Linked DNA regions of Rhinolophus ferrumequinum. The protein of the gene in region 1 interacts with the protein of each later gene in a biochemical or structural test. Links are inferred from orthologs where the notes say so. Each region holds a gene or a part of one and is shown in the gene's direction. Other genes may lie near its edges.

What was found.
Region 2: the proteins of TNFRSF8 (region 1) and TNFSF8 form a complex in vitro, tested with the Homo sapiens proteins (2 studies listed by BioGRID and IntAct). The link is inferred for Rhinolophus ferrumequinum from reciprocal best matches to the Homo sapiens genes TNFRSF8 and TNFSF8.

What each region holds. Positions count from the first base shown.
Region 1 is NC_046292.1:8,215,062-8,231,417, forward strand, and holds the start of TNFRSF8 (tumor necrosis factor receptor superfamily member 8), read left to right. Parts: upstream 1-8,764; 5' UTR 8,765-8,814; intron 8,815-16,356. UniProt on the Homo sapiens protein: Receptor for TNFSF8/CD30L. May play a role in the regulation of cellular growth and transformation of activated lymphoblasts. Regulates gene expression through activation of NF-kappa-B.
Region 2 is NC_046295.1:66,485,941-66,501,689, reverse strand, and holds the start of TNFSF8 (tumor necrosis factor ligand superfamily member 8), read left to right. Parts: upstream 1-7,049; 5' UTR 7,050-7,338; coding exon 7,339-7,533; intron 7,534-15,749.

The sequences.
Region 1 (16,356 bases):
CCCACAAACATTTATCAAGCACCAACTGCATGCCTGGGAGTGTTCTGGACGTTGCAGAGACATCCATGAACAGCACAGCCAGTCTCTGCCTCGTGGAACTGACATCCCCACGTGGACAGACTGGTGCAAATTACCGTGGAGAGGAGTGCAACCACGTAGCGTGAGAGATGTGGGTGGTCACCCCAGGTGGGGAAAAGACGATGTCCTCTGAGGGGTGGTGACATGTACAGGAATGCAAGGAGGGAGCCTGTCCATGGGACGTGAGCAAAAGAGCAAGGCTGGAGGAACAGGAAGGAGCCCGGTGTGGCTGGAGAGGAAGGGGTGACGTATGGTGTGGTGGAAATGGTGGTGGGGAAGTAAGGAATAACACAGACCTTTGTGGACTGGTTTGGATGGTGAGTGATATCACATGACCTGCTTTAAAGTTCTCTCCGTCTCCTGGGGTGGGGGAGGGCAGGGGAGCGGGCAGGAGGGGGGCAGGAAGACAGGCTAGTGCTGTGTCCCAGAGAAGGAGCCAGGAATATCCTTCGGAGCTGGATCCACAGGGCCTGCCCATGGCCTGGGAGTGAGGGCACAAGGCAAGAGGACAGCTGGAATCCTGTCCAGGTGCGGGGGTTCCATATCTGAACAGTGATGTCGGTTATGGAGGCAGGAAAACTGGGCCTGGGGAGAAGAGGTGTTTTCGAGAAAAGCACGAGGTCTGTTTTTCCCCACGGTCGAGTGTCCAGTGAGGGTTGAGTGTCCTCTGCAGAGTTTGGGCCCCCGATGTGGGTCTCTGGTACCAGAGGCGACTGCAGAACTCCTGGTGTCATCTGGGCCAGAGCGGAGCACATCACCTCCTCTGTGGCTGGAGCCCACGAACTTCCATTCACACAGCCCAACACTCCATATTTTCTTGGCCCCCAAAGTAGCATCTTCCGTTTATCCTGTTAGCTTTCTCTTGTGGCTGTAACAAAGTATCACAAATTTGGTGGCTTAGGATAACACAAATGTATTATCTGATAGTTCTAGAGATCAGAAGTTTAAAACAGGTCAACAGGGTTGCGTTCCTTCTGGATGTTTTAGGAGAAATACGTTTCCTGCCTTTTCTGGCTTCTGGAGGCGGCCTGCATTCCTTGTCCCGGGGCCCCCAACCACGCTGACCTTGGCTTCCGTTGTCATATCTTTTCTGACACTGCCCCGCCTGCCCCCCTCTTCTAAGGTCCCCTGTGATGACACTGGGGCCCACACAGATAATCCAGAATAACCTCATCTCAAAATCCTAAACTGAGTCACATCCGTATAGCCTCTTTCGCCATGTAAGGGAACGTAGTCACAAGCTCAGGGCTCGGCACTGGACATATTTGGCGCCTTTATTCTACCACACATTTCATCTTGCTTGATCTGGCCCGCTGCCTTTGTCAAGTCCTGTATGGGGGGATAGTAGAGCTTGATGGTCAAAGGGTATGGGCTTTTCGGTCATCTTGCCAAGTTTATACCCTCTTGTGACACGGGTGTTCTCAGGCACGCTAAGTCACTTCTCTGTGCCTTGGTTTCCCCATCCATAGAATGGGGGTAATCACAGTCGTTTCTTTGTAGGGCTACGGGAAAGATTTTACGGGTTAAGATGTGAAAAGTGCTGAGAACAGCTCTTGGTATATAGCAAGTGCTGTGTAAACGTAAGCTGTTAAGTACTTGTCTGCTAGGCATTGTGGGTACAGGATGAAGGTGAACCACTCACAGGGTTTTTCTTCCAGGGCAGAAGCGTGGGAAGAGGGACACAGGACAGGGTAACCAGCAGTGTGGAGAACTGTCTCAGGCCCGTAGGAGCCCACACACATGGGCCTGTCCTCACCTCCACCTGGGTCGGTGAGGGAGAAGGCACCCAGGCTCAGGCACTTGATGCCGCCCTAGGACTTTCATGAAGACTGTAATCTGAACAACTGGCTCACGAAGCCACACCAGAGCTTCTCTAGGGCTGGAAGGGCATCAGTGGGAAGTGGGGAGTAAGTAGTTGCAGGGTTTGGACTCAAGGCCAGACCTTGGTCACGTCGACTTATGTGCCTCCATCCCACCCAGCCCCTGTCTTAGGCTCTACAGCCATTTGTGGGTTCCCATCTCAAGGGCAACATTTTGCAAAGTCACTTCCAGGAAGTAGCAGTTCCATGAGGAAAGGGTTCTATGGCCAAATAAGTTTGGGAAACTTTTTGTCTGTCTGCCTCCCAACCTTTCCTCAGAGAATCAGACAGAGGGCAAGGAAACACATACAAGGATCTGAGAGGTCCTACGATTTAAAATGAAAACCTCTCAGATGGTTTTCATTTTAGATGGTGATTCTTTGTATTTTGCTTGTCGCCTGGTGATGTCCCGCAGAACCAGCCTTTGAAGGAACACTCTGTGGGAAATGACAATTAAGGGCAGACGGTCTGGCCCTGAGTCCTGGGCCCATCTCCTTCTGCTCCCACTGTCCAGCCCATCTGACTACTGAGTGACCCGGCAGCTCAGTTCTTTCCTGCCTCTGTCCCTGGCTGCTGTGGGGCCTGCTGTCTAGATGCTCTCCCCTCACTTCCTCCTGTCGAGATCTTAGCCATCCTGCAAGAATCAATGGAACTGCTCCTGCAGGAATCCATCACGAATCCCCCAAGTTCTTTGTCTCTGTGTATCTCATGACACTTACATTATTCTGCTTCGCGTTAGAGATTCGTGGGTTTTTCTGATCTCATCGCTGAGGTTCCCTTCCTGTGTCCATTCTGTGGATCGCTATTTAGTGTCTCCTATGTGTCTCTTCTGGGAGAAGACATCACCAAATGGAACTGTCTAGAGTCGGCCTCTTTGTCGCCACCAGCGACGGGTCCAGTGCCTGGGTCCTGCTGGGCCTCCAGTGAGTCCATGGTGGGTGGGGGGGGACTTGGGTTTATTCTTTGTCCTCTCAGTTGAGGCCCTGTTTTAGTTGCCTGGTGTGGCTGTCATTACCACACCTCAGTAGCTTAAAACAACACAAATTACAATCTTTCCGTTCATAAGTCCCAAATGCTTGTCACTAGGCTAGAGTCAAGGTGTGGCCAGGGCTGTGTTCCTCTCTGGAGGCTCTGGAGGGAAAATCCATTCCCTCCCTTTCCAGCTGCTAGTGGTCATCTGCATTCCTTAGCTCGTGACCCCTTCCTCTATCTTTATGCCAGGTGCTTCTGTCATCGTCACATGTCTTTCTCTGACTCTCTGACTCTTCTATCTCTTTCTTGCACTTTTAAGGACTTTTGTGATGACATGGGGACCACTCCAAATAATCCAGGATCACCTCCCCATCTCAAGGTCACTGATTAGCAACCTTAATTCCATCAACAACCTTAATTCCCCTTTGTCATGTAAGGTGACCCAGGTATAGGTCCTAGGGATGGGGACATCTTTGGAGGGGCACCATTCTGCTGACCACAGACTCCTTCTCATTTCCTTCTTCCCTCCCACATGGCAGATTCTCAGTGAGAATGGCTATTTTTCTTGTAAATTCCATCTCCAAGAAGGTGCTCACCTGTTGCTGGGGGTTCTTCCTGCCAGGGGTTCCAGGCTCCATCTTCTATGGCTGTTTTTGTGTCTATTGTCTTTGGGTTTTAGTTCCAGCTACAAGGAGCCATGAATAGTCCCCCTCAGCTTCCTGGAGACCAAAGGTGGGAACTGGGGGTAAGCTTGACCTGGCTCCTGCACACAGGTATGACAGCCGTGAAGAAGGCCACCTGTGTACAGGCAGGAACAGACTGTGTGCCTGTGGGTGTGTTTAAGGTCGGGAGGAAGATGACTCCAATTTTAGGGGGTCTCTTGGTCTGGAGCTCAGATGAGCCCTTGGGGTGGAGAGCAGGGTTCAGATCCCCCTAGGACTAGATGACAAAGCCCAGCCTAGTGGTTACTTAAGAGCTCGGCTGTGATTAGCAGAATAATGTCCCCTTAAAATATCCACATCCTAATGCCTGGAACCTGTGAATATGTCACGTTACACGGAAAAGGGTTCTTTGTAGATGCGATTAAGGGAACTTGAGATGCGGCGATGAGGCTGGACTGTCCTTATGGAATCCTTAAAAGTGGAAAACCTTTCCTGGCTGTGTTAGAGAAAGATGATATGGAAGAAGAGAGAGCTGTGACAGGACTCGACCCACTGGTGCAGGCTTGGCAGATGGAGGAAAAAGGCCACGCACCAAGCAATGGTACAGCCTCGAGAACCTGGGAATGGCCTCAGTTGACAGTCAGCAAAGAGGGGACCTCAGTCTTAACCACAAGGAAGTGGATTCTCCAGCAAGGACCCAACGCTGCCCACACCTTGATTTTAGCCCAATGAGACCTGAGCGGGTGGGGGTATTCAGGGACGGTTTCTCTAAGGAAGTGGCGTGCAAGAGTGGGGTGTACTGTGCGAGGGGCATGGGGGCTTGGAGGACCGCATGCACAAGGCTGCTGGGTGGGGGAGGGAGGGAGGGATGGGGGAAGGCCGGGGGGAGAGAAGGTGCCAGAGGATGCACAGGCCAGATGAGCCCGGCCAGCAGGCCAGGGCCTTTTGTGCCACTGTCAGGACTTTGAGCTTTATCCACAGCTGGGTTGAAGCCATCTGAGCGTCTTCAATAGGGTGCAGGGGAGGAGACCAGGTCTGTTTTGAAAAGATCCCTCTGGCGTCTGTACTGTGAGTGGGGTACAGGGGATGGAATGGCGTGGATGTGAGGAGACGCTTGGACGACCATTGTCAAGTCCAGATGGTGGGGAGGTGACGAAGAGCTGGTGGGTTTGAGGGTAGAACTGGAGGTTAAGCAAACAGGACTAGTAACACAGAGGCCTGTGGGTAAGAGCCTGTGCAAAATGGCTCAGGCCAAATCCCGGCTCTAACACTGTCCAGCAGTGTGACTTTAGGCAGGTTTCTTAACCGCCATGTGCCTCAGTTTCCCCATCTGTAAAATGGAATAGAGACTAAGTCTAGGATGGGCCTGGGATTCTGCATTTTGAGGAAGTTCCCAAGTGGTGACAGTGCCTCTGGCCTAGGCACCTCACCCTGAGTAATAGAGGTGGGGAACCCCTGGGGTGGAGTTGGGGTGTACCTCCTAGCTCTGCCCAGCTCTGGCCCCTTTGGGTATTTGATCTGACTCTTCCACCCCCATCCTTCCCCTTATGCCCCAGCTCTAGACTCCCAGCTCCTACAGGTGTGTCCCAGCTCCTGTTGTGCTACGCAGCTGACACCAGGAGGGACATTTTGAAAGTGAAATTTACCAGGTTTTACAGGGAAAACCAAACCAACCTGAAAACAGAGAGGCCTAGAAATGGGAAGGTTTCAGGTCACTCTCTCTTTATAGATTCATGCCACTGAGGTTGGGCCACAGACTTTTGGTTGCACAGCTCATCACGCTGTGGACACCTTGCTCTGCCTCAAACCCTACAGGGGGAACCCCACCCAAAAGCCCCCCTTCCAGTCCTTGGGCTTCCCCTTCCCATTCTCCCCTGCCTCCCCTCTTCCCTCCCAGGCCATGGCCAGGGCACAGCACAGCTGTGTCTCCCCTTCCCCAGCGGTAGCAGGAGCTGATGGGCTGTCCAGGCCCTGGGCCTATGGCCAGTGGGAATTGGTAGGACCTTCAAAATTCAGGAGGTCAGACATCCTGGGGCTACCTTCTCTGCCAGGAGCTGCGGTGGGTGAAGGGCCTGTGTGAATGGGTAGTGGGGGGCAAGAGGAGGGCAGTGGGAAAGGTGGGAGAGATGGCAAAGGGAAAGCGGTGCTTGGGCCAGGGGTGAGGGCTGTGCCTGGGCCACGAGACAGCTAGTTTTTGGGGGCCACAGGCAGTGTTGCAAGGGTGAAGCTCAGGTCCCCACATGCCCTCTCTTTCTATTTATGGGCTAAGGATACCCTGGGAAGGTGGGGTTGTCTACCCCACTGGAGTGACAGCTCCTGGAGGGCGTTCTGGGGCCCATTCAGCTCTCTGGCACACAGTAGGTGCTTGTGGGGACAGAGCCAGGAGTGCAGTTTCCAGGCTCTCGGCCTCATGTGGAAAGGTGCTGGCTCGGGTAGTAAATGGCCATCAACTGTGATCGGATGGCCATCAGCTGTTACCAGTTAGCCATTAACCACTGAAATAACTGCTGTGGCAAAGCTAGCAAGTGTGGATTGCAGAGAGGCATAGATTGCAGTTAGCACGGTGGATTGCAGTTGGCAAGTGAGGTTGGTTGGCAGAAAAACGGACGGCAGGTTGCGGATCGTGTGGCTCCTGCTTCCTGTGTCTCCAACCCAGCCGCCAGTGAGAATATAGTGGTCTGACTCCCCTATCTATGGCTCCGTGGGTGTTCCTTTTTGGCCTCACCATATCCTGCGTTCTTATGTGGGGAGCGGGACCAGAGACCCTGCGTGACACCCTGCATGACAGTGCTTAACGCACTCTTATAACGGTCAAGAGTCAGCTGACCTGGACTCAGATCCTGACCCTGCCACAAGGTGTGGTCGTGGGCAGGTCTTTCACTTTTCAGTTTCCATGGGAATAGGGTCTCACAGGCTGTGGGTTCAATAACAGCTGTTGTTACTTCTACAACATGTGTGCATTGCATTGACCCCATTTCCTGGGCTTGTAAAACGATGACATCATAGGTAAAAACAAACAAACAAACAAAAAAAACATTCCTTACTGTCTCCGTCAAAGAAGGCCAGCTATAGCGGCCCGGGGGGCATCTGGGGTGGATGTTGGGAGATGGGGCTGAGCTGGGCCCGGACCTGCACCCCATCTACATCTCTGGGAATAGCTGGGAGAGCTGCGGTCCAGCACCTCCACAGGAGTATGGGGGCTATCCCTTTACCCCAGAAGCCCCACATGGGAACGGAGGACCCCAGTCCTCTACCCTTCCTTCGTGGGGCTCTGATGGGCTACAGCTGGACATCCTGACCGAGAACCCACCGCCCCTCCCGACAGCAAGAAGACAGCGCCCCCTGGTGGCAAACCTTGGACTTACACAGATTTAGTTTTAAGCTGCTGTCTCCTTCCTGAGACACTGTTAGTTAGTACACATGTTGTTTTGTATAATAGCTTTATTTATCTCTCTGTGTATACACTTATTATTATTACTATTTTCTTTTGCTGTGCCATTTGCAAGTTAGTTGCAGACGTTTTGATCCTGGACCCCTAAATATTTCAGCATGTTTCTTCTACAACAAGGGTATCTGACATAAACAAGTTATCAAATTCAGACATTCAACGTCAGTAGACCATTGACCTATAAACGGGGTGGTGATCTGGCCCCAAAGGGCTGGGGGTGGCATAAAGGAGGAGATGTGTGACTCAGGGGTACGTGATACACAATACCAGGGATTCCCTCTTTTTCTCTGCACCTTCCACCCTCCATTGACGTAGGGTGTGGTGTCAGAAGGTGAAGGGTAAGCAGCCAAGCACCCCTCGTCTGTCCCCCAGGCCTTGGGGAGTCCATAGCTATCAATGAGATGAGCAGGCAGGTCAGGAGGGGAAAACCCAGACCAGGGACCCAGAATTTTCCCCACACTCAGCAGAACCAATAGGGCCGAACATTTACACCCTCAGCCCACCCCACTAGTAGGCTTCCGAGCTCACTTGGTGAGATGCTGTGGGTCAGGGAGAACCTTGGATTGTCCCGGCAGGCCTCTGCCCCTGGAGAGGCCCCCAGGAGACCCCTGATTTACTTGAGAACAATGAGCTCCTTCGGGGGGAGGGGGCGGGGTATATGTGGGTGAAGACAATGCCATGTGACTGGTGGTGTGCAGCTGTCAGGCTATACTTATTATCTCAGATTTATTCAGTGACACTTCAGATGTGCAAAAAAGATAAAAAGAAGAACGTAATCCACACTCCAAATATCTCCCTTTCAGCTACACTGGCCTCCTGGCTGCTCCCTGACCATAGCAGAAAATTTTATTAATTGTTACTGTTCCCTTGAGTGCAGAGAAGAGTAGAGAAGCCCCTTGGGTCAGCCAGGCCTCTCCCCTCGGGCAGTAAATGGGTTCTGCTTTCCCCTGCCAAACCAAGACCCTCCCCGTTCATCCCACAAGTGGCCACCATCTCAGAGGCTGCGATATAGAAGTGGGACACTGCTGCCTCCTTCCGTCTCTCCTCCCCTCCCTCCCACCCTCCCTTCCCTGGGGCCCCCAGTCATAGGTCTGCCCAGAAACCTGCTTCATGCTCACCTTTCATGGACCAGGAAGGACAAACACTCCTTCCTGAGGTTCTCAGCAGAGCCTTTCCTCTCTTGAACCCTCCGTAACAGACAGGCTTAACTTTCCCAGAGCCCTGGAAACATATGGGTGAGCTGTTAAAAATGCACATTCCTGAAGAAAGTGAGTCTTGACCCTGCTTCACACCATGTACCAAACTGAAACCCAGCAAACAAGTTTAGCACGAATTGGTATTACGGGCCTGTGCCAGAGGCCAAGTAGGAGGCAACTGAATTAATCCACGGGAGAGAGGATGGGGCTGGGACCAGGCACAGGAGCTGGAAATACTGGTCCAGAGAGGCTGGGAGAACTTGCTGATGGGTTGCATGTGAGCGGGACAGGGGTCTCCAAAGTTTTTGCCTGAGTTATGGGGGGCTGGGGCGGGTTCGAGGGAGATGTGAACTCAGGAGTTTTGTCCTGATTTCTCTTCTGTAAAATGAGGCTTGTTCTCAGACCTGGTCTTGGCGGTGAGTGGGGACCCGGCCTCCTGGGACCTGAGGGGCTGGAGGGAGGATGGGTGTCTGGGACCCACCCACCCTCACCAATTTGTCCCACTCTCCAGGGTCGAGCCCCCAGGGATGCCAGTCCTGGAGACCCTGGCTGCTACTATGACAAGGCTGCTGGGAAGTGCTATCACCGCTGCCCCCCAGGTGAGTCAGGGGCTGGGGGTGGGGACAAGGGGGGATTGGGCAGTGGGAAACACGGGAGCCAGCATCGTCATCATCACGTTGACTGTAGGTTATGAAGGCCATCCCTCTGTGACTTGTTGTTTTTAATCAGTAGCTGCCCTTTATCAAACACGTGCTATGTACCTTCAGTGCGTGTCGTCGTCTCGTCAGAGCCTCACAATTATCCTTTATTGTCCCCATTTTGCTGATGAGGCTTTTGGGATGCTGCAAGGTTAAGTCACTTGCCCAAGGTCACAGAGCTGGGAAACGGCAGAACTGGCTGAGGCAGGAGTTCAGGGTTCTGTGACCCCAGAGCCTGGGCTAGGGACACTCCTGACTGCCCCTCATTTCTGGGCCTGGACACCCTTTGCAGTGCTCATCTTCTCCAGCCCAGAATATGTGTTTGTTCCCGGGCTGCCTGGACTGTAGCTCTCTCGGGGACCAGTCTTGCCAGCCGGAGCTGGCTTCCGGGAAGTGTCACCCACCCCCTGCCCCGTGATGGGCTCTGACTAGGTTATCTGGAAGTCCTTCCGGAACAGCGGTGTGCCTTGTTCTTCCCACTTTGCAGGGATGCTCAGGCTGGAGGAGGTGAGCGACGGAAGGGGGCCACAAGGCATTGCCATCCTCGGTGGCTGTCATCCAAAGTCCAGCGGTGCGTGCAGTGGCCTTGCCTGGGTGCGGCCTGAGATAAAGCTGAACTCTGGTCTCTGACCTCCGGGAACAAAGACTGAAGGGGGAGGAAAGGTGTTAGTTAGGCCCCTGGAGGGTGTGAGGACTGGATGTGACCCGTTCATCATACCTGCCTCGTGCTTTGAGGACTGAAGGCCACGGGAAGTGGGCGGGGGTCTTCAGGACAGGGAGGGTACCCACCTATGGTCCTCTGAGGCTCCCAGCATTGCTGTCTGGAGGGTGGTGACAGGCTGTGATGCCCAGGATTACTAAGGGTATGTGGCTGGAGCAGGGCAGGAGCCCCAGTCGGTCTGTTCTTAGAACTGTGGCCTCTGCTTCACTCTGCGGGCTGAGCGAGGCCATGATCGGGCGACCAAAGGACCGAGAGAAACATTTGGGGAAAGAACTTGATATTTTCTATTCCTAAAAATGATTCATTAGTTATTCATTCAGTAGTCATTACAGGGAAAAAACTAGAACTTTGCTGGACTTTCTCGCCTTTGTTTTGGGGTTGAGTGTTGATTCTGAAGTGTCTATCAGGTGGGTCCCTGTGCTTATTTGGGACTTCAGGGCCGAACTGGCCAGCAATGCCCACCTGTGTACCTGCCTGTTCACCTGCCTGTCCTTTCACCCAGTCACTGACTCATCTGCCCTGCCCTCCTCCCAGCTCCTCAGGCCCCCCTCCTCCCCCTCCCATTCCCTTTCCGGTTCTTTCAGTCCTCCATCCCCCATCCATCTATCCATGTGTCTCTGTGGCTCAGGCTGCCACAGCAAAATACCTCAGACTGGGCAGCTTCAACAACAGACATTTATTTTCTCACAGTTCTGGAGGCTGCAAGCCCAAGATCAAGGTGCTGCCAGGGTTGGTTTCTGGTGAGAAATCTCTTTCTGGCTTTCAGACAGGCACCTTCTCATGGGAGAGAGAGAGAGGGAGGGAGGGAGGGAGGGGTGGTGGGAGGGAGAGAGAGAGAGAGAGAGAGAGAGAGAGATTTCTTTTCCTCTTCTTATAAGGCCGCCAACCCTGTCAGATCAGGGCTCCACTCTTATGACCTCATTTAACCTTAATTACTTCCTGAAAGCCCTGTCTCCAAACACAGTCACATTGAGTTAAGACTTCAAACATGAATTTGTGGGGGACACAGTTTAGTCCACAGCACCTTTCCCCCACCCAACCCTCTCCCATCTGTCTCCCCATCCATCCCCACCCATCTACGCACCACTCTGCAATCCCCCTTTCCGTCTATACTTCCACCCATCCATCCAACAATTTTTTATTCCTCCTTCTAATAGTGAGGTCACTTGTCACCTTTCCAGCTTTTCCTTCCTTGGTCTTTCTGCAGGACCGGCTGTGCTTGGTGTCCTCTGAACCTACTGTGTGCTTTCAAATCTCTGGGCCTCTGTACATGCCTGTTGGCACCTGGGACGCCCTCCGCCACCATCCCCGCCTGCTGCAGTCCTAACACTCCTTCCTCCATAAAGCCTTCCCACACCCGCCCAGTGCTATGCGGCTGGTGGCACACTGTTTCTCTCCAGGCCAAGTGCAGTCAGGGCTCCGGAGTGCAGTGGCCCTCATGTGACTTTCCATAAGAACCACAGTCCCAGCTGCAGGGAGAAAGACAGACACTTCCTTCCTCATCCCCCAGCCCCCTGGATCCCAGCTTGGTGGGGTCTTGAGAGACAGACTTCCTGGTGGCAGCCTCCCCTGCTTAGATGCTATGACTGGGAAGAGGGAACCCCCTTCCCCCCATGTGCCTTCCCCAAGGCCCGGTGACTAGGGGTGGCTGAGCACCTCATGCTGCTGTGGTGGGCGGGGCATTTTGGTGGAGTTTTATTGACCTTGTGCTTCTGGGCAGGCAAGAAAGGAAAAACGAAAAACCCACAAAAACCCCTTCCTCGGTTTGTTGGGGAAATTTCTGACATTTTGCCCGCCCTCTATCATCAGTGCTCAGCTGTGTGGCAGGGTTCACACGGGGGCGGGTTGGTAGAGGAAGGAAACGGGAAGACCTTTGAGACTGAGTTTAGATGTCTTGAATCCCTCCTCTCACCCAGGCCGGTAGGGCCCTTTCTAGCGTAGGGCCCTTTCTAGCATCGTTGACAGCTGATCCTCGGTCCTCTGCTTACACACCCTCAGTGACAGGAAGCTCGCTCACTGCTTCGTCACAATTACCAATGATGGAGCATTCTTCCTGTCAGCCACGGTGCTGAGCGCTTTACCTACACATCAGCTGCCTGAACCCAGATGGCAAACCCAGAGAGGAAACTTGAACATGCCAGGGTTCAGGGTTTGTCCATGGTCACGTGCTAGTAAGTGGCTCAGGGTGGGGGCGGGGGGATTTGAACGTGGCCGTCTAACTTGAAACCCCAGACGCTTCAGTCTTATTTGTATTGACCCCCAAGGCATTGCCTTTGGGCGGCCACAGAGCATATCAGACAAGAGCCCATGCGGGGACTACAAACCCCTCATTATTCTGCACCCTACTTCTTGGATACCCTCTCTCACTCCCCATAGGAAGGGGTCTCCCTGCAGATGTGTAAGGCCTACCCAGACCTGGTGTCAGGCGGAGACCATGGTTGGTTTGGGGTCTGGTGGGAGTGTCCCATGTAGTCCCAGGAACTGAGGGTTTCTCCAAGGGCTGTGAGCAGGAGGGAGGAAGAGGAGGCGGCCTTCCCTGCCCACCTGCCCTTGGCCAAGTTTGACTCCCTCCTCAGGCTGTGGTTCTCCTTCAGGCAACAGGAGGGACACTTGACAGACATCTTTCAGCCCCAATTCCAAAGCCGAAAAGAAAGCCTCTGACGGCTCAAATAAGTCCCAATGTCCACCTCTGCTCTGGTTCCCCAAGGCTAGGACTGTCCTGGACTACTGCTGGGGAAGGGGGTGGAATAATTCATCAAGAAGGGCAGCCTGTGGGCTGGGAAGCCCTTCAGCAAATGTGTCGGCTGCAACAGGCTGTTAGAACCTGGGGCGGTGCTGCTGGGAGCCGTGGGGACATATTCCTGGGGGGCCTAACCTAGTTGGAGCATTCAGGGGGTGTTTTCTTGAGCTGTTGGCATCTAAAGGAGTTCTAAGGATGAACAGGAGTGTCCCAGGCCAAGGTGGCGCGGGGGTTTGCTCTGGTTAGAATATGCCAAGGCCGGGGACAGGGCATGAAGGGGAGCAGGGAAGGGGAGGCTGGAGGGCTTGGGGCTCAGGCTCCGTGAGGGGAGTTTCTGGGCCAAAGCAGCTGTGGCCTGCCTGCCCCGATGCGGAGCCAGAGGTAAGAGGCAGTGACAGGAATGTTACGACAAATTTGAGAACATCTGGAGTGGGTAAGGCGCTGATCAGAGACTGGGAGTAGAGTATGGCTGGAGGCAGGGCAGGGCAGAGGGACACTTGGGAACCAGTTGTAAGAGCCCCACCACAACTTGGAAACCTTTCTTAAGGTTTGTGATTAAGAAAGTGATACTCAGGGAGCGAGATCTCTGTGGAAAATGGGAAAAGAAGAAAAGAGAAAAACACTCATAATTCTTCTGCTTCCTCTGCCCCAGCCCCCGTGGCCTCTCTGTTCTTTGCACAAGTCATGCTTCATCCCCCCTCGTGGCCTTTGCACTCGCAGCGCCCTCTGCCTGGAATGCTCTCCCCCAGGCCTCTGGGCAGCTGCCACCGCCTTCAGTCCCCTGGGACTCAGTGAGGCCATCAGCCCACACTCCCTAGAGCTCTCTCTCCATTCCGGGTGGACTTTCCTACTCGTAGCTGCTTTATTTTCTTCAGTTTGTACCCACATTGGGAACCAACTTACTAATTTCTTTCCTATTTTTATTTTTATTGGGGAATATTGGGGAACAGTGTGTTTTTCCAGGACCCATCAGCTCCACGTCAAGTCGTTGTTTCAATCTAGTTGTGGAGGACGCAGCTCACTGGCACATGTGGGAATTGAACCGGCGACCTTGGTGTGATGAGCTCCTCGCTCTAACCACTGATCCAACCGGCTGCCCGCTAATTTCTTTCTTGACTTGCTTGTCTCTCTTCCCCAGGCTAGTGTAAGCTCGATGGGAGTAGTTCTGGCATAAAGGTGGTGCTCAGTAACTGAGTTAAGTGAAAAAACAATCCCGCAACCAAATTAGTCACACTGAGCCCTTGAATGTATTTTCTGAAGAAGAGGGTTTCTGAAGTCCAGCCCAGGGCAGCCCCTGGCACTGAGAGGCAATTTTAAAGGGCCCAGAAAGGGGATCTGGATGGCGTCCGATGATCAGGAAAGTTCCATAAGGCTGACTTGGCTGGATGCGAAGGGCTCCCAGCGGGTACACATGGAGATGGAGGAGCATTTTAGTCTGGGCAAAGAACATGTGTATTAGTTTCCTAGGGTTGCCATTAACAAAGTACCACAAACTGAATGTCTTAAGCTACAGAAATTAATCGTCTCTTAGTTACAGAGGCTAGAAGTCCAAGACCAATGCGCTGGCAGGGACATGCTCCCTCTGAAGGCTCTAGGGAAGGTTCTGGCCTCTCTCCTACCTTCTGGTAGTTCCTTGGCTTGTGGCCGCCTGACTGCAATCTTCATGGGGCCATATCCCTGTATGCATGTCGGTCTCTGTGTCCAAATTTCCCCTTTTTTATAAAGACACCAGTCATATTGGATAAGGGCCCACCCTAATGACCTCATTTTAACTTGTACCTCTGTAAGGACCCTATCTCCAAATAAAATCACATTCTGACATACTAGGAGTTAAGACTTCAGCATATATTTTTGAGGGTGACATAATTCAACCCATAACAACATTCCAGGATACATGAGAGGTACCAGAGGAAAGACCAATGTGCCCAGGTTGACTGAAGCATAGAGTGTATGCAATGAGTGATACACAACAATACCAGACCAGGAGTCTGGAGACAAAGTGCGGCCTGGCAGTGCCAGGCTGAGGACTCTATTGATTAGGTTGGCAGAACATGTATTGATCAAATATGTGCCAGGCCCAGTGATAGGGTGAGCAGAAATGGAAAGATCCATCCTGGAAGAGCTGACATTCACGGGGAGAATTCAGACACTCAGACGATTTATCCCACAAATAATTGTGCAATTACAACAGGAGAGTGAGGTACAAGGTCTCTGACGGTTTATGACAGTGGTCCTGATCAAGTTGCTGAGGAAGTGATGTCTCCACTAGGGTGTGAAGACTGAGTGGGAGATTACTGGGGGAAAAGGGAAAGGAGCATTCCTGGCAGAGGCCCAGCTTGTGCAAAGGCCCTGGGGGCAGAAGGGAGCATGGCCCTTTGGGGAACAGGGAGCCCTCGTATGGTTAGGGATCAGAGAGCAAGGGGGATACGGGTGGGCAGAACCTCATTAGCCATGGTAAGGACCTAGGCCTCTATCAGTCACAAGAAGCCTTTGAAAGTTTTAGGCAAGGAGTAATGGCATCAGATGTATCCCTCTAAGACCACTGGGGAGCTATTGAAGTGTTCTGAACTAGAGGGTATCAGCCATCAAGCTAATATTTTTGAGAGGAACTTGCATGTGATTTTAGAGCAGGGGCTCACGGGCTCCCCAGGGTCCAAGGGTAGATTTCATGGGGGCGGTGTGCCTGAATGAGTGCACTTAGTTTCATCAGCCTCTAACTAAAATTGCCTTTATGAATTCCTTCCATTACGAATTAAGGCAAAAAAAGCACAGTAGTAATAGTAGTCCTTGCAGTTTCTCCATCGGTAGAAATCAGATAGTCTCATATTATATTACAGTTATATCACAATTGCTGCAGGTATTGTGAAACATTCTATCCTCATCACGACTTTTAAAGTATGGTAGTTATTAGATCGTGTTGAATGAGTTTACAAAAATCACACATATTACTGTTAAATTATTTTGTTTAATGCTTTAATATCTGTGTTCCAACATAACTGGGTTCCTTTGTAATCCTATGTATTTTATTTCATACTCTTTTTTTTATGTCTTTGCTCTGTACCTTTTATTTTATTTTATTTATTTTGATTTTTAATTTATTTTATTTTTTTTTAAATTTATTGGGGTGACAATTGTTAGTAAAATTACGTAGATTTCAGGTGTACAATTCTGCATTACATCATCTATAAATCCCATTGTGTGTTCACCACCCAGAGTCAGTTCTCCTTCCATCACCATATATTTGATCCCCTTTACCCTCATCTACCACCCTCCTCCCCCCTTACCCTCTGGTAACCACTAAACTATTGTCTGTGTTTATGAGTTTTGTTTCTCATTTGTTTGTCTTGTTTTCTTGTTGTTTTTGGTTTATATACCACATATCAGTGAAATCATATGGTTCTCTGCTTTTTCTGTCTGACTTATTTCGCTTAGCATCATACTCTCAAGATCCATCCATGTTGTCACAAATGTTCCTATATCATCTTTTCTTATCGCCGAATAGTATTCCATTGTGTATCTAGACCACAACTTATTTCATACTCTTAAAAACATGATTCTGAGCAGTAGTACCCACAGATTTCCCCCAGATGACTAAGGGGCACAAGAAATGTTGAGAATCCTTGGTCTAGATTCTTTTGGCTGTAACTCACAGAAGCCTAACTCACTTAGACCCAAACAAGACAAAAGAGAAATAATTGGCTCGATGACAGAGAATCCATGGCACCATCCATTCAGGTTTGAATGATGTCATCAGGAATCCATTTCTCTGCGTCTGTGGCCTCTGAGTTGCCTCCTTCTCAGGTGGGCCCTGCCCAAACAACAGCAGCCGTGATCCGGCAGCTCTGGGCTTAAACTGCCCTTTCAACCTGAAATCCAACATAAAAAGAGGGGCTCTTTCCTGGTAGCTTTTGTGAAACTCTCAGAGATGAGGCTCCTTGGCAGGCATGGGTCATGTGCCCATGAACCAATCACAGTGATGAGG
Region 2 (15,749 bases), on another chromosome or scaffold:
TCTCTCTATCTCTTTCTCTCCTTTTCTGCAGATGACATTTGTTCATCTAATATTTGGCCCATCAGTTATGTTTCAAGCACCATTATAAGAAGACACCAATTTCCTTAGACACCTATGTGTCACAGTTTCTATCTGCTTCTATTTCAGGACTTATGTGCCTATATACTTAGAGGCGAGGGCTGGAGTAGGGAGAGAAACAGAAATCTGGAGGTTGGAAGGCAACAAGAGGGGAGGGATGGAGAGGGAATCAGTCCTGGGATCTCTTCTCTGGGACAGGCTCATGTTTAAACTTCATTTATGACAATTAAAAAAAAAGTATCGTAAAACAAATGGTATTTTCCCCAATATATGTATTTAGATAGATTTTTTAGGGAAATGTACAATTTAAACATTTATTGGGAATGTGCTAGGTGTGGATACATGCAAGTCATTTGCTCCAGGAACATGCTGTGTTCTCAAGGTGCTTACAGTAAAGTTGGGGAGACAGAGCCCTAGGTAGCCACCTAGAACACAGGTAATATGATTGCAGAATGGTTACAGCAACTTGCTCTGCAGTTAGACCTGTGTCAGAATGCCAGCTCCTCACCAAAAAGCACCAAGACCTTGGAAAAGTCATTTGGCAGCTAGCAAGCCTCAGTTTCCTTATCTGCTAAACGGGAATAATAGCACTCATGGGGTAATTATAAAAAGCAAGTGAAATTATGAATATAATGTGCTTGGTACACAATATGACCTCCCTAAATGTAGGTGATGGTTGTAATCATAAAAATAATTACTACTCTCATCGTTGTTGACTGCAGGTAAAAAGATGCTGCAAAACACGGCAAAGAAAAAAGGGCTGTAATTCTTACTGGAAGTTGGGAGTTGAAGCTCAGAGAAGAGACAGTATTTGAACAGCAACTAAAAAAAAGTGTTGAATTAGGACATTTCACGTTTTGGCAAGGGTACTGCTTGCCCCCCAAATGGAGGGGATTAGCAGGGACCAAGATCTGAATAAACAGTACACCTGGAGTGGAAGTGGGGTTTTAGGGGCATAAGAGGCTAAAAAAGAAGCTTTTAGGGGAAGACCGGGGAGGACATGCAAGGAAATAATGACCAGATTCCACAGGCAACAGGAGATGCTGAAACATTATAAAAGGGAAGAGGAAGGGAGTGAAACACCCTACTAGAGTCTGTGTGGATTTTTACCCATTCACTTAGTATAGAGGTTAAAAAGTTTGCCTGAAGGAAGCCCCCTAGAAAATAATAGATGGGCTTGAGTTTTCCCTCTGAATACATATAATGCCCTGAATGTCTGTTATTAATATCAATCACATTATGTTATAATTACATTTTGAATTGCCCATCTCACTTACCCAATTATAAGCTTCATGAAGGTAGAAATGATGTCTGTTATATTAACAGTGTACAACACATAGTAAGCTCTCAAATGCCCAATGAAAATAGTATCCTGTCTCTTCCCATATGTATTTTTATTAATACATAGGACCTAGCCTCAGCTTTGCAAAAAGTGCAGACTCATCTCTCTTCTTTGAATGACAATGGAGTTCTTACGGAACTCCATCTAAGTTAAAGAGTTTTCCAGTCCTTCATTTCTACTGGAAGGAGAAGGCCTCCATGGAGGCCAGGAAAGGGATGCTCTATTTCTTTTTTTGAATCTCCCACTTACCTGGTATTTGTTTATCATTCATTCTGGATCATTGAAAATCATAAAACTACATTTCCTTTCAAATATTTCAGTATTTTCACTTCTTAAAATTAGTGCTTATCCTAATTCATTGCAATGGCATGCTTTAAATTCATAGATTACAACCATCTACTATTTCAGAATATGTTATATATTTCAAAGCACCTGTACTACCAGCAAAGGGTCCATTTCTCCTTTTGAACTCATCTGCTTCTCACGATCAAAGAGGGTTATGCAACCCAATGTGTTTTCTTCTTTGCCTTGGTTACCAGGAAGCTCAGAGGTATACATGTTGTGCTCAGCTGCTGAAACTGTCATCAACCCGGGTTTCTTAATCGATTCACTTTCTCTCTACCTTTATATCTTGGCTCCTACCTTTTGTTTTGTTTTAGTGGCTTCAGATCTTATATATCTGTGCATTTATTTAAGTTGCCTCAAAACATTTTTAAAGTGGGCCGAAATAACATGTATATGTAAGTATGTATGTAAATATGTATGTGTATATATGTATATGTATATATTCATGTTTATGTATATCTATTCATATATGTTTCATATATTCATATATGTATATGTGTATAACTTATTATTTATAAACACAAACACATATATCCAATACGGAAAGTAAACCTTTCTATACAATATTTCCCAGATGTCTTCTGCCACACCTCTCTCAGCTCTTGTGTCCTCTCCAGTAGTCTACTTTTGTCATGCACCTTTCAGGACATCTAGCTCCTCTACAATTAGCTCCAAAAAAGAATCTCCTCATAGGAAAGCATGAGTTATCAATATAAACACAAATGAAGATTTTATAGAGGACTCTTAGGAAATACATTTCTGTTCTAGTTTCCAAATCCCTTCTTTGGTTATCCTGCCTTGAGTTCATTTTAATACTATAAATCAGGGGGCAGCAAACTTTTTCTGTAAAGGGCTAAATAGTAATATTTTAGACCTGGTGGGCCATGAGGTCTCTGTCACAACTACTCAATTCTGTGGTCATAATGCAAACTCAGCCATAGATTATGCGTAAATAAAGGGACATGACTGTTTCAATAAAGCTTTATGTATAAAATAGGTGACAGGTCAGATTTGGCCCATAACCATAGTTTGCTGACCCGGCTCTAAACCTTCCCCTGTTTTTTGTCCTCACAGCATCCTCTCAGTGAAGTGTCATTCTGGCCAACTCCAATATCCAATCATTGCAAGTTAGCCCCAGCAAAACAGAACGTTCTCCAGTTAATGGGACAGGACGCTCCCTCCTCAGTAGGCAGTTTCATTGCATGTTGTATTGCTTGAAAACACCCTGGGAGGAGTTTGTCCTTCTCCCACATATATCAATAGCTTTAAAAAATATTTCTTTTTACCACATACGATGATCACCACAAGAAAACTTTAAATAAATATTACAGAAAATCTCCATCTGCCTAAGCAATAGTATTTTTATAGCCTACAGTCGTATTTGAGGTTAAAAAGAGGGTTCAATCAAGGGACAGAAAAAAACGAGTCTTCATGCCAACATTCCCCGCTACCTGACCCTGGGCAATAACTTCTCTCGGCCTCAGTTTTCTCACCTACACAATAGGGTTAGGAGTTCACCTGCCCAAAGGCCACAGTCTGGATTATAATCCCTTGGAGGTTTGTTCTGGAACTTCGGTTATTTCCTTAAACTCATGATTTCCAAATGGTTTCAGGAATCAGAACTCTCTGGGGTGCTTGTTAAAACACAGATTGCTGGACCCCAGCCTGAGTTTCAAAAACTCAGGCTGGGGTCCAGCAATCTGTGTTTTAAGTCAGTAGGTCTCGAGTGGAGCCCAAGAATTTTCTGTGCCACCAAGTTATGCTGCTATTGGTCCAGGAACCGCATTATGGGAACCACTAGTATATATGATTGGAGTTCTCACAGTCCCTTGTATGGGGAAGCACTGGTGGGGCAGGTGGGGTTGGTGGTCCAGAGCTGGTGCCTCTTTTTGAAAATGAGGCTCCTTCTTGAAGAGATAAGAAATTAGTTCTTTGCCCACTGAGTCTCAGATGCTGCAGCCACACCTCACTACTAATTGTAGCCTGAAAGGAGGCTGGTGTGCACTCTCCATGATGGAGCCATCCTGGAACATAAAAGCCGATGGGCAGCCAGGTGAGCCATCTATAGAAGGACAGGGAGGTGGAGGGACAGTTGAGAACTAAGAGGCAAATATGCCACTGCACAATTTCTTTGTATAAGCCACCCTTCTAGAACTTTCCTTTTTCCACAAACATGAAGTCAACACAAGCATTGACTGAGGGTTAATCATACCTAGTGCCAGTAATACCCTAGTGTCCAGTGCCAAGTAATGCAGAGTGGAAGGCCAGGATTGAAAAGAAGACCAGGAAAGTGTAGACTGCCCTCCGGGACTCTCTGACTTTGGGGATGGCAAAATTCACACACTTGACAGTCATTCGTCAAGACAATGAGTAGATAATCACATGCAAGGTTAGGTGGCATGAGATAGAGGATTCTGGAGAGAAGATATTGGTGAGCTTGAGCAGTCTGTACAGACTTTCCTGGAGGAGCTCAGGCAGGCTGGCAGGGACCTGCAGAGCAAGAAGGACCCAGCAGGGGAACGGTGAGAAGAACATATAAAGAAGCCTGGGTGTGCCTGGAATCTTAGCAGAGGGGATGAAGATAAGTACAAGGCACTTGTAAGCTTGTCTCTACCTTCCCCATGTGAACTCCCACAAGTCATTTCCATTTGGGGGGTTTCTAGTTTCCTGATGTGAGCAAGGAAGGTTTTGAGCTAAATCGCAAGTTTCCAAATTTTGTTCCATCTTGGAGAGACCCCAGGCCATTGAAAGGTACAGTGAACAGCCCAGGCTCCACTCTTCTCTGTCCCATCTGCTTTTGCCAGAGAAGCTCTGCTTTTTAAATTTTTCACTTACAGAAAGCATTTGACAATCACTCAACAAGAAATTTTGTAAAGGCTTTTTCCATTTGTACGTTGGGTGGCTGAACAGAAAGGAGAAAAAAAGCCAGCTAGCACAATGGATGGGGCAGCTAGGTTGACCAGACTCGCTTCTAGAACAGCTTGGCAACAGGGAGAAGTTTAGACCAATGTGAGTGGATGAGTGCCACCGGGAGAGAAGTGAAATCAGGCCCACAGGCTGCTAGAAAAGCAAACTGATATGAAAATCTCAACTGCTCAGAAGGTTCTGAGTAAACACAAAGGTTGATTTTCCCCCATGTCAGCCTTCCCTCCCAGGACATTGTACTGTATGCAAAACGGGTAACTGTAAGACAAACCTTTTTTTCCACTGCCCTTCTCAGCCCCGCGGGGCTTCAGGAAGACCTGCACTTCAAGCAAAGCCTTTTTATTTTTCAACACCCACAGCTTCCATTCAACAATCAGAAGTTTTCCACTTTCATCAAAGAGACTGAAGAGAGAAGCCGAGGGAGCAGCCTATTCTCAGCAGCTCTGGGCAGATTACAGAGCCCCCTGCTACCCACTCACTGCCCATGCGCCCCACAGGACACAGCCGTCTCCCCAAATCAGCCAGGTACACGTGCCAAAAATATACTGGCCTGCTTCATTCCCCCCAATTACCAGACCCAATGAGTATGTGTACCCGCTTCTTCCAAAACCGAGCCCAGATGTTAGCTGAACCTATTGTGGTAATCGCTCCACCATACTGAGAAACAACAAGGACGCCATCACACCGTACACCTGAAACTTATACAGTGGTGTATAAAGGGGGGAGGGTCCCAACTTGGGATCAAGGGGGCCTCAGCTTCCTCGACTGTAAAATAGGCACACAGCATACCACTCTATTTAGCCTAAGAAGACAATTTACTTCTTGATGTCTCTTCCATATCTGCAATCTATGATTTTATGGATTTACTGGGAAGGAATATCCAGACCAATTCCTAGAGTCTGACCTAACTCGGATGATACTCAGCAGTATGGGATCTGGGCATCATCCTAGTTTGGCTTTGGACACAGGACATTTCCTCAGGAGGATCCCCAGTTCCTGTTGGTTCTCAAGGATATACTGTAGCCAAAAAGTGAGTAAAAAGGGCAGGGGTGCTGCAAAGAATCGGGTACTTCCAAATGAAATCTTTAAGGAGCTACACCCCGAGGCACCAGCTCTGCAATGATTCCCAATTTAAATGGAGTCCATTCATAAGCACAGATGTGACCAGCTCCGCCACCCCCACAATGACCCCCAGAGAATCTATTTCTTAAATCTATCTAAATTCCAGACTGAGCCACGGGGACCACTTCGGACATTTAACCAGGATGGCCCGACACCACTGCCAAGTTTACTCCCATTCACAATGTACTCGTACATCACTATCCCATTTGATCTTCACGGTGGCTGTGAACGCACGTGAGGAAAAGAGAGAGCCATACGGATTTGTGCAGGGAGCCAAGGCCAGCAAGAGGCGGGGCTGAGGCTGGACCTCAGGTTTCCAGCTTTTAAGTGCAGGGACGGGTGAATGATTTAGCATTCTTGGGGGCCAGTCAGGTATGGCTATGCACCCAAGTTAGCTCACTGATCAACATTTGTGACTTTGCTTGAGACAGTTTTCATTCTCTGGGATCCTCCAATTTCCTATCTGGTAAAAAAAGAAATATTATCTGCCTTAGAGGGGGAGGTGAGGGAGGAGTGAGGCAATGTGTGAACCTCCTAGCACTGTGCCCGAGTTAGCAGAGGTTCCACTGTCACAGTAACACACACACACACACACACCACACACAATACACAATACATACGTATACCTACAACATGCACCACACATCACAAATGCATACCGCACATTCTACACAGCAACCACCCACACGCAGCACGTGCACACACCACACAGAGCACACACAACACCCCACATTCTGCACCAGACCACTTCCCCACCCCCAACCCTCCCTGCCAATTCCTTCCCCTTTTTGTGAGTTTTATGACAGGCCTGGGTTTATCTGCAAGTTGAACAGATCCCGATACACTCTGCAGAAAATTTTGTTCAAAGGATCAGTGTTTCCAGCCTCTCTGTGCCTGTTCCCAGATCTCATACAGCGATGAGCTCATCCCCGTTTGGATACGTCGCCATATTTGTGGGCTCTTCCTTCCCAGAATCTGGTAGCATTTCCAGTTTTCAGCAGGAGCTGACATTGTCACACTGAATGACTTTGAGTCATTCTACTGCAATCCAAGGTCCAGCAAAGAGACATTTTCTGATAAGGTCTTCTGAGCCGCAGGCCTCCCTGAAGAGAATGAGCAACTTCTGAAGCAGGAAGGCGTTTTGTGGCTAAGTCTAAACGAAACAGAAGTCACTCTGTGCACACACACACACACACACACTCACACACACACACTCACACACACACCAGATTAGGGAAACCGTCATTTTCCTACTCGCCCTCTGACATCAGCCACCTTCTCTGTAGCTACAGTTTCTCTGCACTCAAATTAATCCCTGGCAACGAAAAATGAGCCTCTCCCCCACCCCTGCAGCCGCCTTTCTCCTCACGCCCCCAGAGAAGAGTTTCTTCGCGAGGCAGCCGGTGAAGGTTTTTTTCCAAGTCACATGATCCAGGATGCAGGGGAGAATCCTTCTTGGAACCGAGATGGGCCCAGAACCGAATTAGATGAGAGATAAGGTGTGATGTGGGGAAGACTATATAAGAATGGACCCAGGGCTTCAGCAAGCATTCAACCGAGTGGCCCCTGCTCAAGACACAGCCATGCATGTGCCAGCGGGCTCTGTCACCAACCACCTGGGAACCACTAGCCGCAGTTACTTCTATTTCACCATGGCCACGCTGGCTCTGTGTCTCGTCTTTGCCGTGGCAACCATTATGGTGTTGGTAGTTCAGAAGACGGTAAGTCAACTTCTCTTTGCCGCCTTTCCTTTCTGATTTATGTTCAGTTTTCCCCAGAGAGACAGCCTTGGGGATAAACTAATAAATTAGTTGACGGGGGAAAAAGTACATATATCATATAGAGAAAGGGAGAAAAGAAACGGGAACTCAACTCTCTGAAATATTTTGGATTTTTGAGAGGCAAATTTGTTGAGCTATCCATCATCTCAAAACTTTCCAGACTCACATGAGCCAAAAGAGGGCAGAAGAGCTATTAGCTTTGAGAAATTAAGGTTTAAATCTTGCTGAGCCAGAGACTTGAAGCAAAGAAGGAAGCAGTAGGGAAACTTTGTAACATATTTGCACAACTTGTTATCACATCTTCAACATTTTCAGACCAGATTTCAAGGTCCTATATTCTCAATGGAAATGTTCCTGAGATTTCTTAGGCCTCATCCATTACCAAGAGCTTTTTTAACAAGGAGCTAAGTTTCAGAGGCCAAGGGTCTGTAAGGGAAGGAGGCAAGAGAGAAGACCAGGGCTGCTTAGAGCTTTGGACATTTTGGTGTTAAAGCCCACAAGACAAATTGAAAGCTTCCTTCTGAGTCACTGCTTTGAAGAGTATAGGGCGTCACAAGAAACAGAGCCTAGAGGCAGAAGAACACAGAAATGTTTTTAACACCTGTCCCCTCTGAGGCTGCTCGCAATACAAAAACTGCAAGCAATTACGGGTACACGCTGTAGCGTCAAACTGTCTCAGGAGATGTACTTTGTTTGAAGCAAATGGTAAGATTAGTTGGTACAAACAGAAGAGATGAAGGAAGACGCTGCTTCCGATTTTAGGAAATTGGTGTTTACAGAGAATCTACCAGTATTATTACAGAAAATACTGTACTGAGAGTATATATTGCTCACAGATGATTTTTTCTAATGAAGTAAAGCTTTTGTTAATTTTGATAATTTAAGAACTGTACTCCCTCTCCACTCTACCAATGTGAGAACGGTTGTTTATTCCTTCGTAGCTCGTTTTTCATGGTATTACAATCCTACAGAATCTGTCCTTCAGTTGTTTGAGGCCAGGGGTGTCCAAACTTTTTTCAACGTTTTTCACCAAGGGCCATCTGCGGTAAAATACACAAACAGCCGGGCCACTCACTCGAGGTGAAGTACGTATTGCCTCACCTGGTTTCTTTAAGTAAACTAAATATATTTTTGGAATTTGCTGCGGGCCAATTAACAATGGATTGCGGGCCGCAGTTGGCCCGCGGGCCGCAGTTTGGACACCTTGTTTTAGGCTGAATGTTCTATAACTTAGGGATGACTGAAAAAAGCAAAAGCGAAAAAGAAAACGGGCTTTAAAAGCCTTTGGTATCTTTTCTCAGTGTCTGCAAGCTTTGAAATTTAAATGAAGCTTTGGGGCTCAAATCTCCATAGAAGTGAAAGAAAACAGAACCGCGAACATTTGATTTAGGTAGAATTTATGAAACTTATCACTTAATGTCCTTATCTACATCTACTAAGAATAATACTCTTGAAAACATTTTAGGGCCTTTTTCTTTAGAGGCCCTATAATTTCAGTAATTCTAATCTGATATAAACCAGAGGCATATCATTTTATAGCAACAGCCAAAAAAAAGAAATTGAAGTTGCATTAAGAAGGTTTTTAGTTAAAGATTGCCTCTAGCACTGGGGGTGGGGGGAGAGAAAGAGAGAGAAAGGAAGAAAAACAGAGAAAGGAAGAAAGGGAAATAAGATGATGGGGGCAACGGGGTGATGGTGACATGAAGCTAGAGAGAGCTCCAGGATGGCTCTTATCCAAATCCCAATTTTAGTTGAATTGATTCTTTTCATGAGGGAAATGGGCTGGATCTTTCTGCCTCATTTTCACAGATGTGGGAAATGAGGATCAGAAAGGACACAGGGCTTGAATGAAGTCACCCTGTAAAAGGGGTCAAGTCAAGACTGCATGACGGTTTAATGAGAAGAGCATTCCCCTTTCCAAGACAGACAGGCGCAGGAGCACTGAGACACTTTGTTCGCAGCCTTCTCTCAGGAGCTTCGTCTTCTTGCACATCCGTTTCCTTGACTTGGCCCTCATGTTTGGATATGAAAAGTTTCACTTCACAGTCTGATTGTATAGTTTGGTGTGCTGTGATTGCTTAGCCTGAGAATTATCAGTTACTTAAGCATTGTGATATTAAGTATTCAATGTTTTACACGTGTCATTTCTGATACATTGGCCAGATATTAACTGTCGTAAGAGATAAGAGAGTTATCCCCTTGAGCTCAAGCCATCAGGGAAGGCTTCCTGAAGGAAGAGGGAATGCAAGCTGACTTTAAGATAGGTTGAACTGAGACAAATGAACAGATACTAACAGGACCTCTGGCAAAAAAAAACCCAAGGAATTTAAACCCACATCCCAATTATTAAAAATGGAGTGGATTGATGGCCACATCGCTCTCTATGTGTGACATTGGACAGGGGCGGGGTGGAGAACCACGAGAATGGTGGTACTGGCCTAAGAAGTCACAGTTGTCGGTAGGAAGACACATGTACAGGCAAAACTAAAACAAAGTAAGTCACAACATATAAGAAGTGATGGAAGCTGGGCACCCAGTGCTACCATGAGACCCTGAGTTACGCAGACAGAACAGTTTTCCAGGCAGGCTTGAGAAAAACTTCACAGGAGATTGGAGGTTCATGTTGACTTGAGAAATACAGAGGGTGCCAAAAAAATGTATACACATTTTAAGAAAGGAAAAACACTGTATTAAAATTGTGATACTCAGAATATACCAGTAAAGAAAGATGAATACAAGTCATGTGAATACTTTTTTTTGGCACCCCCAGTATGTATGATTTTAAACAGGTGGAAAAGGAGATCAGAGGAGAGGGTACGCCTGGCCAACAGAACAGCATGAGCAAAGGGCTGGAGAAGAGAAGATGTAAGGCATGTAGGAACATCAACAAAGATTGCTTTGAGACTTGGCCTGAAGATCAAATAACTCCAATGTCACTCCTTGGGTGAGAGACAAAGAAGGAGCTTAGATCTCAGTCTCAGATGTTTATTGAGCACCTACTGTGTGCAGGATGTTGTTCTAAGCAATGGGGATATAGCCTAGAACAAAGCCCACAAAAGTCCTGCTTTCATGTCGCTTGGGGAATAGTAGTCTGGTAACGTTTCTCAGCCACTGAGATGGATGTATTTCATTTTGTTTACATTTAAACCAGCACATTTATTATGAAACATGATGTTGACATGGTTTAAGAAAAGTAAACAGGAAACAAGGGAAAAGAAAGAAAAGTAAAAATCTCTTACCTGTTCCCCACCTAACCACCAATCTCTCTTTTCTGTGATAACCACCATGAACAGATTCTGCCTTGTCCTTCCAAAATATCTGTGTATCTACAAATATATAATACACACATGTCATTATAGTAAACTCATAATTTTGCGCCTTACTTTACTGACTTGACAGTACACGTTGGAGCTCTTTCCATGTCAACACATAGAAATCCAGCTCATTCTTACGAGGAGTTGCATAGTATTCTATTGTATGACTGCTTCATAATTTATTTTATCTGTGCCTAGTGAAGGACACTTGTGTTTTTGTCTAGAATTTTGCTTGCTGTGCACATCTGTGGCTATATCTGTGGGATAAATTCCTAGTGGTGGGAATAGAATATATATTTTTCTATTTTTCACTTCAATAAATATTGTCACTCAGCTTCCAAAGAGATTGTCCTCTTGAGAAAGTAAAAGTGCTACCAAAAAAGAGACACTTCTTCACCTCAATATGGAAAAAAAAAAATTGATTTATTGAGAGTAGACACATATATGTCAGAATGAAATTTCACACAATTTATACAGCAAAACAAAAGGGAAAATGATTAAGGTTTCCATCTCCTCCAGAGACAACGGGTTAGATAAGGAGGTAGGCTGTGAGGTTGACCCCAGAAGTGTTTACATTTTAAGGGGCTCTGAGGTCTTCAGTCTTAGGGACATCTCTGTTATAAACCTGGAGACTGGGCTAATCCAGCCCCTGGAGAGATCTTTTCAAAAAGGTTAGAACAAAGCAATAAGGCTCAGGATCATTAGGTTTTCAAGGAGACTCTTTCTGGAAAAAAGAGAAAGCAACTGTCTCCTTTCTCTTTATAAGCAAAGAAACTTTCTTCTTCAAAACAATGTATCCTTACAAGTACCACTCTACCTCTTCACCAAGAGTGGAGCTGAATACCTGCTTGAGGGTCATGATTGGTGGTGCTGGTGGTGGTATGGTTTTTTGGTTTGCTTTGAAGTTCAGATAATACATAGGGGTAAGATGTGATGCCCCGTAATGCTTCCCTCTATCCAAGTTACGCTCTTCAATGCATTTGATTTATCAATCAAAAAATCCTCTGAAAATCTCGGTCAGGATTTGTGCTGGGCTTTGTAATGGAAGGACTAAGTGACCAGGGCAGGACTGCTGTTTTCTGGGAATTCTCTAGGTTGCGGAGATGAGGACCTAATATTCAAGAGCCTGAGTTCAGGGCAGAATGACCCAGAATGTCACAGACCAGAAGAAAGGAAGACAGTTTCTGCTTGGAATAAGAAGAGCTAGGATAGAAGCTGAGCCTCCTTCTAGAATTAGAAGGATCATGTCTTATGCCCAAAGTTTTATTTTGAAACGTTTTCAAGCCTATAGTACAGTAGAACGGTGAATACTCATATAACCTTTCTCCTAAATTTGCAGTGTTAATATTTTGCTGTATTTGTGCTCTCTCTCTACATATGAAAGTAAGTTGTATACAGTGTGACCTTTCACTTACATGTATTTCAGCCCCCATCTCCTTCTTACTGAAATGACATCATCATAGCCAAAAGGGTTAATGTTAATTTAGTAATATCATCTCTTAATGATATGCAGTCCATATTTTAACTTCCCCACTTGTCTAAAAATATCTTCTACATCTATTGTGCCTTGTTTGGTTTGGGAATTCAGAATCCCCTCTCAGGTCACACACTGCACTTGGTTATGTCTGTTTTCACCCAGAACATTGCTATTTAAGGGTGGTCCTGGGAGCTTGTTAAAAATGCAGAATCTCAAGCCCCACTCTAAACCCACTGAATCAAAATCTGCCTTTTAATAAGGTCTCTGGGTGATCTGTATGCACGTAAAAGCTTGAGAAGCAATGATCTTAACAATTTTCTCCGCCCTTTGGTGTCTGTTTTTCATGACATTGATTTTTTGAAGGGTCCGGGCTAGTTCTGTTGTTGACTAGTTCATGTTTTGGATTTGTCTTAAGATTCAGTCATGATTATATGTAGACAAAATATTTTTGGCAAGAATAGTACTTAGATAATGTTATATATTTCTTATTGCAGCACAGCTACAGCCACAGGCCAGGTTGTCCCATTACGATGATAATGTTTGATCACTTGATTAAAGGTGGTGACCACTGGCTATCTCTTTTCTAAAACACTTTTTTTTTCCGTGCTCTTATGAAATGGGGTCATACGCTGAAGACATAGAAATATCCTTCCTTCAGGGGTTTTGCCTCTCCTTGATGACCCTCGTCTGAATCAGCTAATAGAGAGGGTAGAAGAAGAATGATTGCCTAATTCTGCCCAGTCTTTCCACACTTGTCTCCATTGGATGTATGGTGGCGGGTAGAGTTGGGGCAGGACATTCCAGGAGAGGCAAGCCCAGGTGTGAGGAGAGGAATGGCAGAGTCAGAACAGTGGTCACTCCCGATGGCACAGGGGAACAGCAGGAAATAGAGCTAGGTGGCAAAAAGCATTGGCAGAGGAAGGTGAGAGGATAGGACGCCACTTCCATCAGCGGACGAGGAAGATTTCCAAACCCATGTCTGAGCCCAGTCCCACACTCGTCTTCCAACTGCCATTCCCCGTTCCTTGGTAAAGAAAGGCCTGAGTAATGTCTTGCTATTCAAAGTGTGGTCAGTGGCCTTGCAGCACTGGCACCGTCTCATTAGAAATGCAAAACCTAAAGGCCCGTCCCAGACCCACTGATTCAGACTCAGCATTTTAAGAAGATCCCACAGTGGGAGAAGCACGGCTTTAAGCCACTTTACTCCAATTCTCACATTCACTAGCCATACCAAGACAAAGACTGCCAACAAAAACCATCTTCCTCCTAGGAATTTTCTATGACCTCCTTCCACTTTGCTCAGAGTCTCAGGAGAATTTTCTGCCCCCGCTTCATCCTGACCCACCCTAGAGAGGCGACGTGGCATGCCTTCCACCCAAGTCAACACACCTGAGTTTGAATCCTTTCCCTGCTGTTTACCATCGGTGAGATTCCACAATCATTAAGTCACTTCTCTGAGCCTTAGTCAATCACTAACTCTCGGGGAAATGCATTTAGCACGGGGGGATTGAGCACACTCGTTAAGCGCTTAATCATGTTAACTAGAAAATAAGAGACGCGTTCCTAGCAACGATCTCTGTGGCCCACTGTATAAGACAATATGAGGCCAGCAAGGAAGGGGATGTGAAATCCCCCTGGCATAGCCCAAACATTAGTTGCTTTTGGCCATTTTTAATGAGAGAGGGCATCTTCTGTCCATAGCAAATTTGGGAGCTGATTATCCCTGCATAGCATTGCTCTGTGAAAGGAAATAGCCTTTTAGGATATTGAGGCAAATTAAACATATCATTAGGATCAAGAGAGTAGCCAAAATATGGTACCATTTTCAAGGACTCGCTAACATTTTATGTTAATGTCTTATGTCCACAATGGAGGAAAGAATTGCTAGCTCTGCAATAACAATGATTAAAGGAAATGAAAAAACAGAGTCCTAGAGAGGGAAGATGATTGTGATCAGGTCATTTCACTTGGGGACAAGCAGTGACAGTTCCTCCCTCCACACACAGAAACCCAGAGTCTGAACCAAAAGAACAAACACATGAAGGAAGTGTAGCTGGTTGGTAACCATGGTGATGAAGTTTCCTGAGCTACCCAATGGAGCTGAGAAGGACAACCTGGGAGGGTCCATTTACTTGTGTCTGTGTCCAGCCAATGTACTTTTCACTTCAAAGCCAAGTCACTGAGCCAGTTGGCTCACATTTCCCCAGCCAGGACCCAGATCCGCAGGCAAGGTTTGGGAGAGAATTCTAGGATTGGGAGGTACCTGCCAAAGAGAAGTTGATGGACAGCACTTAGCATAGTGCCTAGAGTATAAACAGTCCTCAGCAACCCTTAAAAGTCATTATCTCTTTGTACCCCGGTTTCCCATTTCCAAATGTAAGGACTGCTCATGGGAGGGGAGAGAAGAGAAGAATGAGCTTTCCTATCCTTGGCTTCTGAATGAAGATAGCCGTTCCTTCTGGGGACGTGGAAAGAGCACCAGAGAACTTCACCCCAGCATCTGCCACTGACTCATGGGTGTCTTGTTTTCCTCTTCTGTAAAATTAGCCTGATGGACTGAAAGATTCAGGAACTGAAAGGTTCCTCTCTGGCTCTAATTTTCCAATCTTGTCTACCATGGTCAGCCAGGGAAGCTGGGAGACCTTGTCCCAGCAGCTCTTCAGAACAGGAATAGTCACACTTCTGTCCTGGATGCCCTGGGCCCTGGGTGATGGTTTAAACACCAGGACTCTTTCCTATACTAAGATGCTTTGGTTTTGAAGTTAGGAAACCAGAAAGCTGTCAAATCACAGACAGGCTTCTTTAGACTCCCAAATAAATTAGTTCTTCCTCGAAGATGTTCTCTCTTACACCCTTGCTACTTGCCCCAGTGTGTGCTGGGGGCCAGGGGCATCAGCATTACCTGGGAGCTTGTTAGAAATGCAGACTCCTGGGCTCCACCCAAACTTGCCCAGTCAGAATTTGCATTTTAACCAGTGCAGGGGGAGTACAGCAGTCCACCCTGTCCCCACCTTATCTGCAGTATCGCTTTCCTTGGTTTCAGTGACCTGCAGTCAACCGTGGTCCAAAAATGTGTAATGGATAATTCCAGAAATAAACAATTCATAAGTTTTAAATTGCATACCACTCTGGGCTGTGCAATGAAATCTTGCACCAACCTGCTCCATCCTGCTCTGTCCTGCCAGGGTGTGAATCATCCCTCTGTCCAGCATCTCCATGCTGTATACGCTCCTGGCCATCAGTCATTCAGTAGCTACTGTCACAATAACATAGCACAGTGCTTGTATCCAAGTATCCCTTATTTTACTTAGTAATGGCCCCAAAGCTGGCAGTAGTGATGCTGACAATTCGTACGTATACAGGAA